2 linked regions of the Drosophila melanogaster genome follow. The protein of the gene in region 1 purifies or fractionates together with the protein of each later gene. This does not show direct contact. Each region holds a gene or a part of one and is shown on either strand. Other genes may lie near its edges.

Region 1 (4,628 bases):
GACGCCGAGTATAAATGCTACACCGGGCAGTGAGAGGTAGAGTAGAGGACGACCGGATACCATTTTCGCTGAATATTGAAAGATCTGAAAGGGAGAAGAAGTTATATTAGTCTGTGCGATTTGAAAATATACTTGTGTACTGTCACACAAATAGGATTATTTTGATCACACTAATACTGAAATAAAAATGAAGTAGCTTTTGTTTGTGCAATATTTGGAAAAGTTATGGTTTGTTGTTTAATTTACAATTGGAAATAATGTGTGAACACCTCTTATCAGGGCAACAATTTACAAATCAAGTAGCGTCGTATATAATTACTTTAAAAAGCTTGTCATGGCTCAAGATAAGAAACGGTACACAATATGCAATTTTGTGTAGAATAACTTTGAAAACAAAGTAAAGAGCTTTGAATTTGCGTTTAAATTTAAGCGAGAATTTCAAATATGAAATCAATTTTGAAGAAAAGTGTGAGATTAAAGGGCTAATTTGTCAACACCATCCACATGAACGTTGTTTTTTAAATAACGACATATGCATGTTGTTATATTTGAAAAAACCTATTTAAAGGTTTCGAATTGGTTTTGCAAGTCACGAGACCCGCCTGCATGTGCTCGTCTGCATAAGTGTGCGTGTGTGTGTGTGTGTTTGCCAGTGTGTTTGATTTTGGTTTTTTCCTTTCTGAACTTTTGCGTATTAATAGCAACAAATAAATACGTAAATATAGACAACAACACAAATGCCGAGAGAGAGAGAGACAACGAGAGAGAACGACGAAAAAGGTGCAAAGCGATTTTTGAATGCCACGCGGAAGGGAAAAACGCAACGGGAGAGAGCGAGAGAGATGGAGCGATAGATCGCATGCAAAGAGCGCGTGCGCAAGAACGCAAAAGAGCGTCGGCGAAGAACGGAAGAGAGGCGCAAGAAGAAACCGTTACGTTTACGTATGGCAATGGCAAATGTTACGAAATCATTACAAAACAAAACTAAAAGTTACGAAAACAACAGCTTTGCCAGAAATTCATCACCTATTCACAAAATAAATGTGTGTTTTTGTATTACCACTAGGATAAAACTGAATTCGTTGCTTCTTCCGGTTTCGTTTGTATTTTATGTCGTTTTATGGCATCAATTCGCTTCGGCTTATTTTTTGGAGTTTCTTCTATGCTTTTGTTTATTTTCTTTCTTTTTTTGTTGGGTTTCGATATGCCGGCGAAATTGTTCGAGAGATTCGAGATATCGACTGCTCGATATATGAAGGGAAACTACTTTGCACGCCTTCTAATTGCCAATTCCTCTGGCTTTTTATTTGTATTATTTTTTTTATTTCGGCACCGATTCTCCGCTCTTCACTCCATCCGCTCTTCCGCATCGGCATACCCCCACCAACCCGCGAAAAAAGAGAGGATGCGTGGTGGCAAGTTTTTATTTAGCGCCCCTTTCCACCCACACACACACTCATCCCACCAAGCGGAAACGAGACAGAAAGCCGGAGAGAAGAAAAGAGAGTGGCGAGCTCATTAGAACAAAGAAATCCGAAAACCGTTAATCAAAATCCATTCAAATGGATTGTAAGACGCTCCTTCGAATTTGGTCAAAATTTCCGGGGCCCGAAAAGTGCAAGTCATGCCGAACAGTAGTTTAAAGCCATGAGATCTTTAGTACTTTTAAGTTACTCACTATAGAACCGATTTACCCACTATACTCCCGCTTCCCCCCATCCACAATATCGTCACTTTGTTAGGGCCCAAAGGTCCTCCTGTTACACAGTGGTCAGATGATAAGCTCAATCGACAAGCAACTGAAACACAAACATACATTGTATGTATGTACATATGTATATGTATATGCATATGTATATGTATAAATGTACATATAGCGACAGATCAACGGTTGATGGGAGCATGCAGGGGGTGGGGGATAAGGGGCCTAGTGGGGTGCTATAAAATGGCCATGGAAGGGCAACTGGCCAGACAGCTGTGGCATTTCCTAATCGTCGAAACCGGGTGACGGGAATTTTTCAGATTACGTTTTATACCCTTTGCTTAGAGTATTAAAACTTGTTGACAAAGCTTGCCACATTTTGCCTAAAATTCTTAATAAATGGATATGCATAAGAGCAGGGAGAAGTGTAGTTTTACACGTATTCGTATCAACTCTTGAATTAAAACGACAAAATGTAAGATAAGGGCACAACAACTTCGCAATGGTCTTCTAGTTTTTGTTATTTTTTTTTTGTATTTCCTACACTGTAAGCTTGTTTATACATGAATATTGATGTGTCTGCGTGTCTCGGCATGCAAACAAACATGTTTAGGCATGTTTTTTGTGTGCCTTTCGGTTATTTGTTATTTTCTGACTTTGAACTTGCACATTGTTGTTGCTCCAAACTCGAATACCAGTGCGGCCAAAAGAAGAGGAAGCCGTCGAACGGGGAGGTGAAGCAACAGCCTAAAAATTTGAAATTCCCCCGAACAAGCGAGAATGAGCGACACAGAGAGGCAAGCCAGAAGAGAGCACCAAAACAACAACAAATCAGGTGCAACAACATTGCCAGCTAGCCGAAAAAGTCCACATTGTTATAATCTTGGCAACGTGGTTTCCGATCATATGGTGGCCAAAAATGGGCGGGGATTGTATAATCGGGGGATATACTACTTTATATGTGTATACATATGTATGTATGCATAGACGCAATGTTTTCTTTGTGGGAGTGGCAGCTCCTTTTCGCCTTTGTTCTCTTTCAGGCGTAAAAAAACCGAACATTAACGGTGAAAGCTGTAACACACACAGACGCACTTATGCTCGGCATGTGTATGCGTGCGATTGTGGGTGTGTGTGTGTGTGAGTGCTGTCATTGTGTAATCGCCGAATTGAACTCCAAATTTTTTCCATAACCACTTACTGTCACTTTGCCGGAACAACAACAACAGCGGCAAGGCAGAGTCATACACTTAACAAAAAGTTGACAAAAAAAAGGTAGTTAAAACGTTGGCTATGGTACCGGGAAAGAGGTGCGAATAGAGCTCAAGACACGGACATTGGAACAAATCCACACAGAACAGAACATGACACCATTTTCCGTCACATCTCTCTGTTTTGGCAAACACACACACGCACTTTTTTTGTACTAGGTTATGTTCCGCGTGCTGCGATTTCTTACCTTTGTGAACCGCTTGGGTAACTTATTTTGCTCACTATCTTTGGGTGCTTTCAAAGCTATCTACTGCACACGCGAGTTGTGTATTGTTTTTGCTTATTTGCTGGCGATTTACTGTCGTTTTCTCAACGCTAAAGTGCTGCACGAATTAAACACGTGTCTACGTTCCACCTTTTACAAATCACAATAACATGGCCGGCGTGCGGCAGTGTTGCCATGCATCCGCAAAACTCTGGCAATCGGAGCTGCCTGCTTAATCACCCGCACTCGCGATGGCCAAATCCTCGAATTACAAGAGCCTTTGTGCACACAAAAAAAAAATATAGAAAAAATCACTTCACAGTTTGAATCGCAGCCCAATTATTTCTAGAAAGCCGAAAAACGTGTGCACGGAGTGCTGGTTATCAAATCGAATGGCAGCACATGCACAAACAGGGCTGCCCACGCTCATCGATAGGTATCGATTGGGGCAATAGGTATTTTCTTAGGCGGCGTTGCCACCGAATGTGCACAAAAGTGTTGCAAATTTCGCGATATTTCGTTACGATATTTTGTGGAGCAATACTTTTGGGCATTTGTAATTTTCCAACGTAGTTCTTGGGAAGTTCTGATTTCATTTTGTCTTACCACAATATGCTTGTTCATGCGAATTTCAGCCTATTTTTTGTCAGTATAGCGCACTATAAATCGATAATTTCGAAATAATATTTATATAGGAGCAGATAGCGACTTCAATATCTCAAAGAAAACAATCACTAAAAATCTTCTTTTTAATTTAACACAGTGATGTGTGTAATTCCAAATGATATTTTTTTAAATTTATAAAGCGGCGCAAAATAAAAAAAAGACCAAGCTAGTTAGTAGTGAATGCATACATAGATTTTTGAAATCCCTTCAATGATTTAATTACCTCCTGTTTGAGCGAAGAACATAAGCAGTGTGGATAATTAATTAAAATAATAATAATAGCAATTATTTGCAGCATAAGTTGAATGATATAAATGAATTATTTGCACATGTTTCGAGACCCTATAGTTTCTGACAACGGTTCAAATTGACCACACGCGAGATTTGCGACGAAAATAAGCAACGGTCACACTTGGTCACGTCGTTCACGTTTTCTATTTACGCATAAACGAATAAAAAGCGCCTAAAAGTGCTATAAAACATATATGTTGTGTGCTCATGTGCTACACATATCGCAGCGAGTAAATTTAAGGTAGTAGGCAGATCTTGTTGTGCATGTGTGTGGGTAATCACAGTTCTAGTTTTGTAATTTTTTATATTTCCTACACTGTAAGCTTGTTTATACATGAATATTGATGTATGTGCGTGTCTCGGCATGCAAGCAAACATGTTTAGGATTGTTTTTTGTGTGCCTTTCGGTTATTTGTCATTTTCTGACTTTGAACTTGCACATTGTTGTTGTTCCAAACTTGAATACCATTGCGGTCAGAAGAAGAGGAAGCC
Region 2 (4,764 bases), on another chromosome or scaffold:
TTACCAACACGGTGGGCAGCAGCATCTGCCGCGAGTCGCACTGTGGCGTCCACATCAACGCTGGACCCGAGATCGGAGTGGCCTCCACGAAGGCCTACACCTCCCAGTTCATTTCGCTGGTTATGTTCGCCTTGGTCATGTCGGAGGATCGTCTCTCGCTGCAACAGCGCCGCTTGGAGATCATCGATGGCCTATCGCAGCTGGACGAGCACATTAGGACTGTCCTCAAGCTGAACTCGCAGGTGCAGCAGCTTGCCAAGGAGTTGTACGAGCACAAGTCGCTGCTCATTATGGGCAGGGGCTTCAACTTCGCCACCTGTTTGGAGGGCGCACTGGTAATCCATTTGATAATTTGAGCTATAATTTAATCGAATCTCATTTATGCATCGTAATGCATGCATGGGAACGTAATGATGGAAAATAACCGATGTCAACAATTCACTTAACTTGTTTATTTGCCAAGTGCACTTAAATTAATTATTATGTTTGTCCCACGCTTCATGAGCTGAATTTAATCAATTAACTTGCTCATTGCAGAAAGTCAAGGAGCTGACGTACATGCACAGCGAAGGAATCCTGGCTGGAGAACTGAAACACGGACCACTGGCCCTGGTGGACAAGGAGATGCCCGTGCTGATGATCGTGCTGCGGGATCCGGTGTACACCAAGTGCATGAATGCACTGCAGCAGGTGACGTCCCGCAAGGGCAGACCGATCCTAATCTGCGAGGAGGGCGACAACGAGACCATGTCCTTCTCCACGCGTTCGCTGCAGATCCCGAGGACCGTGGACTGCCTGCAGGGCGTGCTCACGGTGATTCCGCTCCAGCTGCTGTCCTACCACATCGCCGTGCTCCGCGGCTGCGACGTGGACTGCCCCAGGAACCTGGCCAAGTCGGTGACCGTGGAGTAGGCGCCCCAACTATCTGGCTAACTGGCTCGCACCGTCTCAAGAATTCCATTTTAGTATCTGCCTGAGAAAAACAAAACAAACCCTAGCACTTAAGTTAAAATTTTCTGGTATTTTGTCGGATCAAAATCCGAACCCTTAACCCATTTGTGCTCCTTCTGGCTGAAGCCACATATGTTTAACCCCTACATTTGTAGCTGTACTGACCCTTTGTGTTGTGGACCCACTACTTTTTGTGAATGTGCAATTGAAATATAATTATTTCCAGTTTTTCTTTAAAAGTGTTTTGCTGCTTTCAATTAAAAATGGATTGGAAAATGTTTAACCAGTAAATTTGTTTGAAAACGGGAAAAACCAAACAAAGATCTATATGTACCTCACTTTACAAAAAATGCTTATCTGACATTAAACATTTGTTTCAAATGTTTAAAAAACGAGGGCCACGTCACGTTATTGCTTACGTTATGTTAATCACGTTGTAAATTTTAGAAAAAGAAAAATTACATATATATTTAATTCTGATAAAACTAAATAAAAATAAATTCTGATAAAAATAAATGATATTCCGAGCACTTAAGTAGTGTGAAATCGATAAGCCGCATAAATTTGAATGTCCTATTTTCAATTTCAAATCAAGTGGTAAATGGGGAAAAAATAAGTTTGTTCTCGAAAAGTAATTCTTTCTGGAAGATATTTCAAAATCATATTTAAAAACAACATTAAATAAATTAAATCAGTTGCGAGCCGGTTGGGACATCTCTATTAACCGTAGCTATCACATCGGTCGATATCTATCGCAACGCAACGCAAACGAATTGAACAACAACCCTGCTCTTTTTCTTTTGGACCCGTAGAACCACATGTCTGGTAACCGATTTTGATTTTCGTTTCGGCGGTATAATGCTCCAATTAATTGACTAATTGCGGTTAATTGACAAGACAAGTGAACGGCGCAAGTACGGTGCAACCAATAACGCAGCGAGTGTGTGTGCAATTGCGAAAAAACCCGATAAATAATATTCGTAACGTTCTGCCCAGCAGCGCGTGAGTGAGTGCGAGCGAGAGGCAGTGATTCGAGGTGCGTAGTGGTGCGAAAGTGTGTGTGCAAGGAAACCCGCAAAAGCAAAAGCAAAGCAACAATAACAACACACGCACGCACACACACACTTGTGTACGTGTTAACACGCGGAGCGGAAAGTGCGTAGTGAACATACGAAACGTACGAAACAAGAAGTGGGAGAGATAGCGGAATAAAATACAATTCTTGTTTCCATTTCAATCTCCTCTGGTGCGTATTCAAATCAATCTGAACCTTAACTTGTGTATGTGTGTGTGACCGCGTGCATCGTTTTGAAATTCGAGGCGAGCTGCAGTCGAAATCAGCTGTTTTAAAAGGCCCGACCAGGGCGGCACTAACAGCAATGCAGGCCGTTAGCCGAGTGCATTGGATATTGCATAATATTGGGTGAAGCGAAAACAGGGATATTGTGGTAGGCCACAGGGTATAATAAAACCAAATTGTAGCTATAAACGCAGTTTCTTTTATTTGCACCTTTAATTCGCTTCGATTTCCTGTCGTATTACCGGTTACGTTCAACGCCATGCCATTACGTTGTACTCCAGTTTGGCAAGTGGGCAGCTCGCTTTGCGGCAGCCCTGGTCGCTTAGCGTTGTGTTGCTGCTTCCTCTTCCTCTTGTGTGGGGCAAAAATCTAACCTCACTTCTTCTTCTTCTTTGGAACACTGCTGTGTGTGGCTGCTGCATAATAATATAATACCTCTCGATTCACGATTGGTCGTGCCTCGCAACGGATTTTCTCCGCTCGCCCAAACTGCAGTATATAATCGTGCAAAATCCGTGGCAGTAAATTCAATTCGCCGAGGAGCGTGACAGCTGAGGAAAATCGAGAAAACGGCCGCTGGGAGAGGCTTTTCCGATGGCCAGTTCCTAAAAAATCACCGCACTCCTCGGGAGGCTCTTCTGCAGTCCCACAAGAATAGTAATCCCCATTGCGAAAGCCCCAAGTTCAAAGTGCAGTGTATGTGCGTATGTGTGTGTGCTGTAATAGTTGCATTAAGTAAAGATGTAAATATTATTGCAGAAGGGCGAACTTGAGATTAATCGCCGTAATTGAGCAACAAACACCTCGCGTTCGCCCAACTCGCAATCTTGTTGGAAAATCCTAGTAGGCACAGTAAAGCTGGGCTTAGATGGCCATTCTTTAGTTTTAGTAAAGAGGTTTTAGTTTCCATTCCACTCTTTCTTTGCATTGGTATCAGTTTAATTTCAAAAGTCTATTTTTCTACGGCCAATAAGGCCATTAAAACTCGAGATGTTGACTTGAATTTATTAGCTCACTTAAAAGTTTAAGTTAATGCAAATTACTATACAAATTGCATTAGTATTGACCGCAGAATTGCCCTGAATAGTTCTATATGTAAATGACCCAAAACAGTCAAGCTTAGCTATAGTAACACTGCGTGGAAAAGTTATAAAATGACGTAATTGTAGTCTTTGGCCTGGATTTTCCTCTTGTTCCTACCAAACAGGCCTGTGAAAACTAATCCTTCTATTGCCAACCATTTCAGTTTGGAAGCCTATCTCTGGAGCCACCACATCCCGTTGAGCAGGCAAGGAAGCAGACAAGAGTTTCCCCAACCCGACAACGAGGATCAGCCGCTGACGTAGCCGGAGCAGGAGCAGCGAGTGTGCTGCCCACTCTGGAGAGGAAACCGGAGTCAAAGAAACAGCAGGAGTAGCAGCCGCAACTGAGGAGCATGTCCAGCAAGGAGGAGACGCCATCCACGGGAGGTGCCGCTCCTGTGGCCACTGTCGCCGCCTCGGGCAGCGCCACCACTTCCTACGCCAATGTGGTGCAGAACCTGGAGACCAAGAAGTCCGGCACCAGCAACACCACCACCACCACCGCCAGAGCCACCGTGGACAACAAAGAGAACCAGCCCAATCTGAAGAGCTTCAAGTCGTGGAGCGAGGAAGCCGCTGCCGCCGAGGCAGCCGGCGAATCGCCAATCGTCGGCAGCGTTAGCCTAGCCCAGACGGGTGAGAAGCGTGCCGCTGCCTCCGGTGGAGATAACACCGCCGAGAACTCATCGGAATTGGACGACAACAACGACTTCGTGCCGGTACTATCGCATCACCGCCGCGATCGCAAAAAGGCGCGCAAAGAGAAGCCGCGCGATCAGCAGCCGGCCGGAGGACGTGGCGATGGTCAGAAACCCCAGCAGGCTGGTGGCCGCCGCGTCCCCGGATCCTCCGACACCGAACGCAAGTCAGTGCGCCCACGTGCGCCGCGCGGCGGTAGTCCCCGCAAATCGGCAGCTGGAGCTGCTGGCGCAGCCGGATCCAATGCTGGAGCTGTGTCCTCCGCCGTTCCTGGTGGACCGAAAGTACACAAGGATCGCAAGGATACCTCGCCCAGTGCCAGCATCGAGGGAGCCGGCAGCAGCGGCAACGAGGCCAAGTCCGCCGACGGGGATCAGCAGGCGGGCGAGAAAGGCGCCGCTGGAGCAGCTCCGCCGCCCAAGCGATTCATTGCCGCCCCACCGCCCAAGGTCAACGCATGGAAGGTGAGTGATCAAATGATTGAATCTTTAAGTGATTGATTGTATTTTGGGGTATCTTGAATGGTAGGTTCATTAGGATAGGTTTTCATTAGAGTTGTTCAGGCATTGATTGGTATTCTTTGGATATTCCTAATTGGAAATCTTAATATATTCAAAAATCCAGAAGATTTAGAAGTGCACCGGAATAGAATTAGGTACATTTGCATTGACAAAAATTAGTTACTCGAACAAAACATTGGAAAATGCAAATGAAAAGCTTTGCTAAAATATA

What was found. The genes of interacting proteins can lie anywhere in the genome.
Region 2: the proteins of spoon (region 1) and larp purify together in Drosophila melanogaster (affinity purification with western blotting; one study listed by BioGRID). This does not show direct contact.

The regions. Positions count from the first base shown.
Region 1 is NC_004354.4:5,417,291-5,421,918, forward strand, and holds the start of spoon (spoonbill), read right to left. Parts: upstream 3,047-4,628; 5' UTR 2,949-3,046; coding exon 2,904-2,948; intron 1,807-2,903; exon of another isoform or gene 1,027-1,806; intron 85-1,026; coding exon 1-84.
Region 2 is NT_033777.3:28,333,441-28,338,204, reverse strand, and holds the start of larp (La related protein), read left to right. Parts: upstream 1-1,764; 5' UTR 1,765-2,197; intron 2,198-2,663; exon of another isoform or gene 2,664-2,951; intron 2,952-3,497; 5' UTR 3,498-3,686; coding exon 3,687-4,496; intron 4,497-4,764. Other genes in the region: Gfat2 (Glutamine:fructose-6-phosphate aminotransferase 2), read left to right, coding at 1-335, 538-912. UniProt on the Drosophila melanogaster protein: RNA-binding protein that regulates the translation of specific target mRNA species downstream of the mTORC1 complex, in function of growth signals and nutrient availability.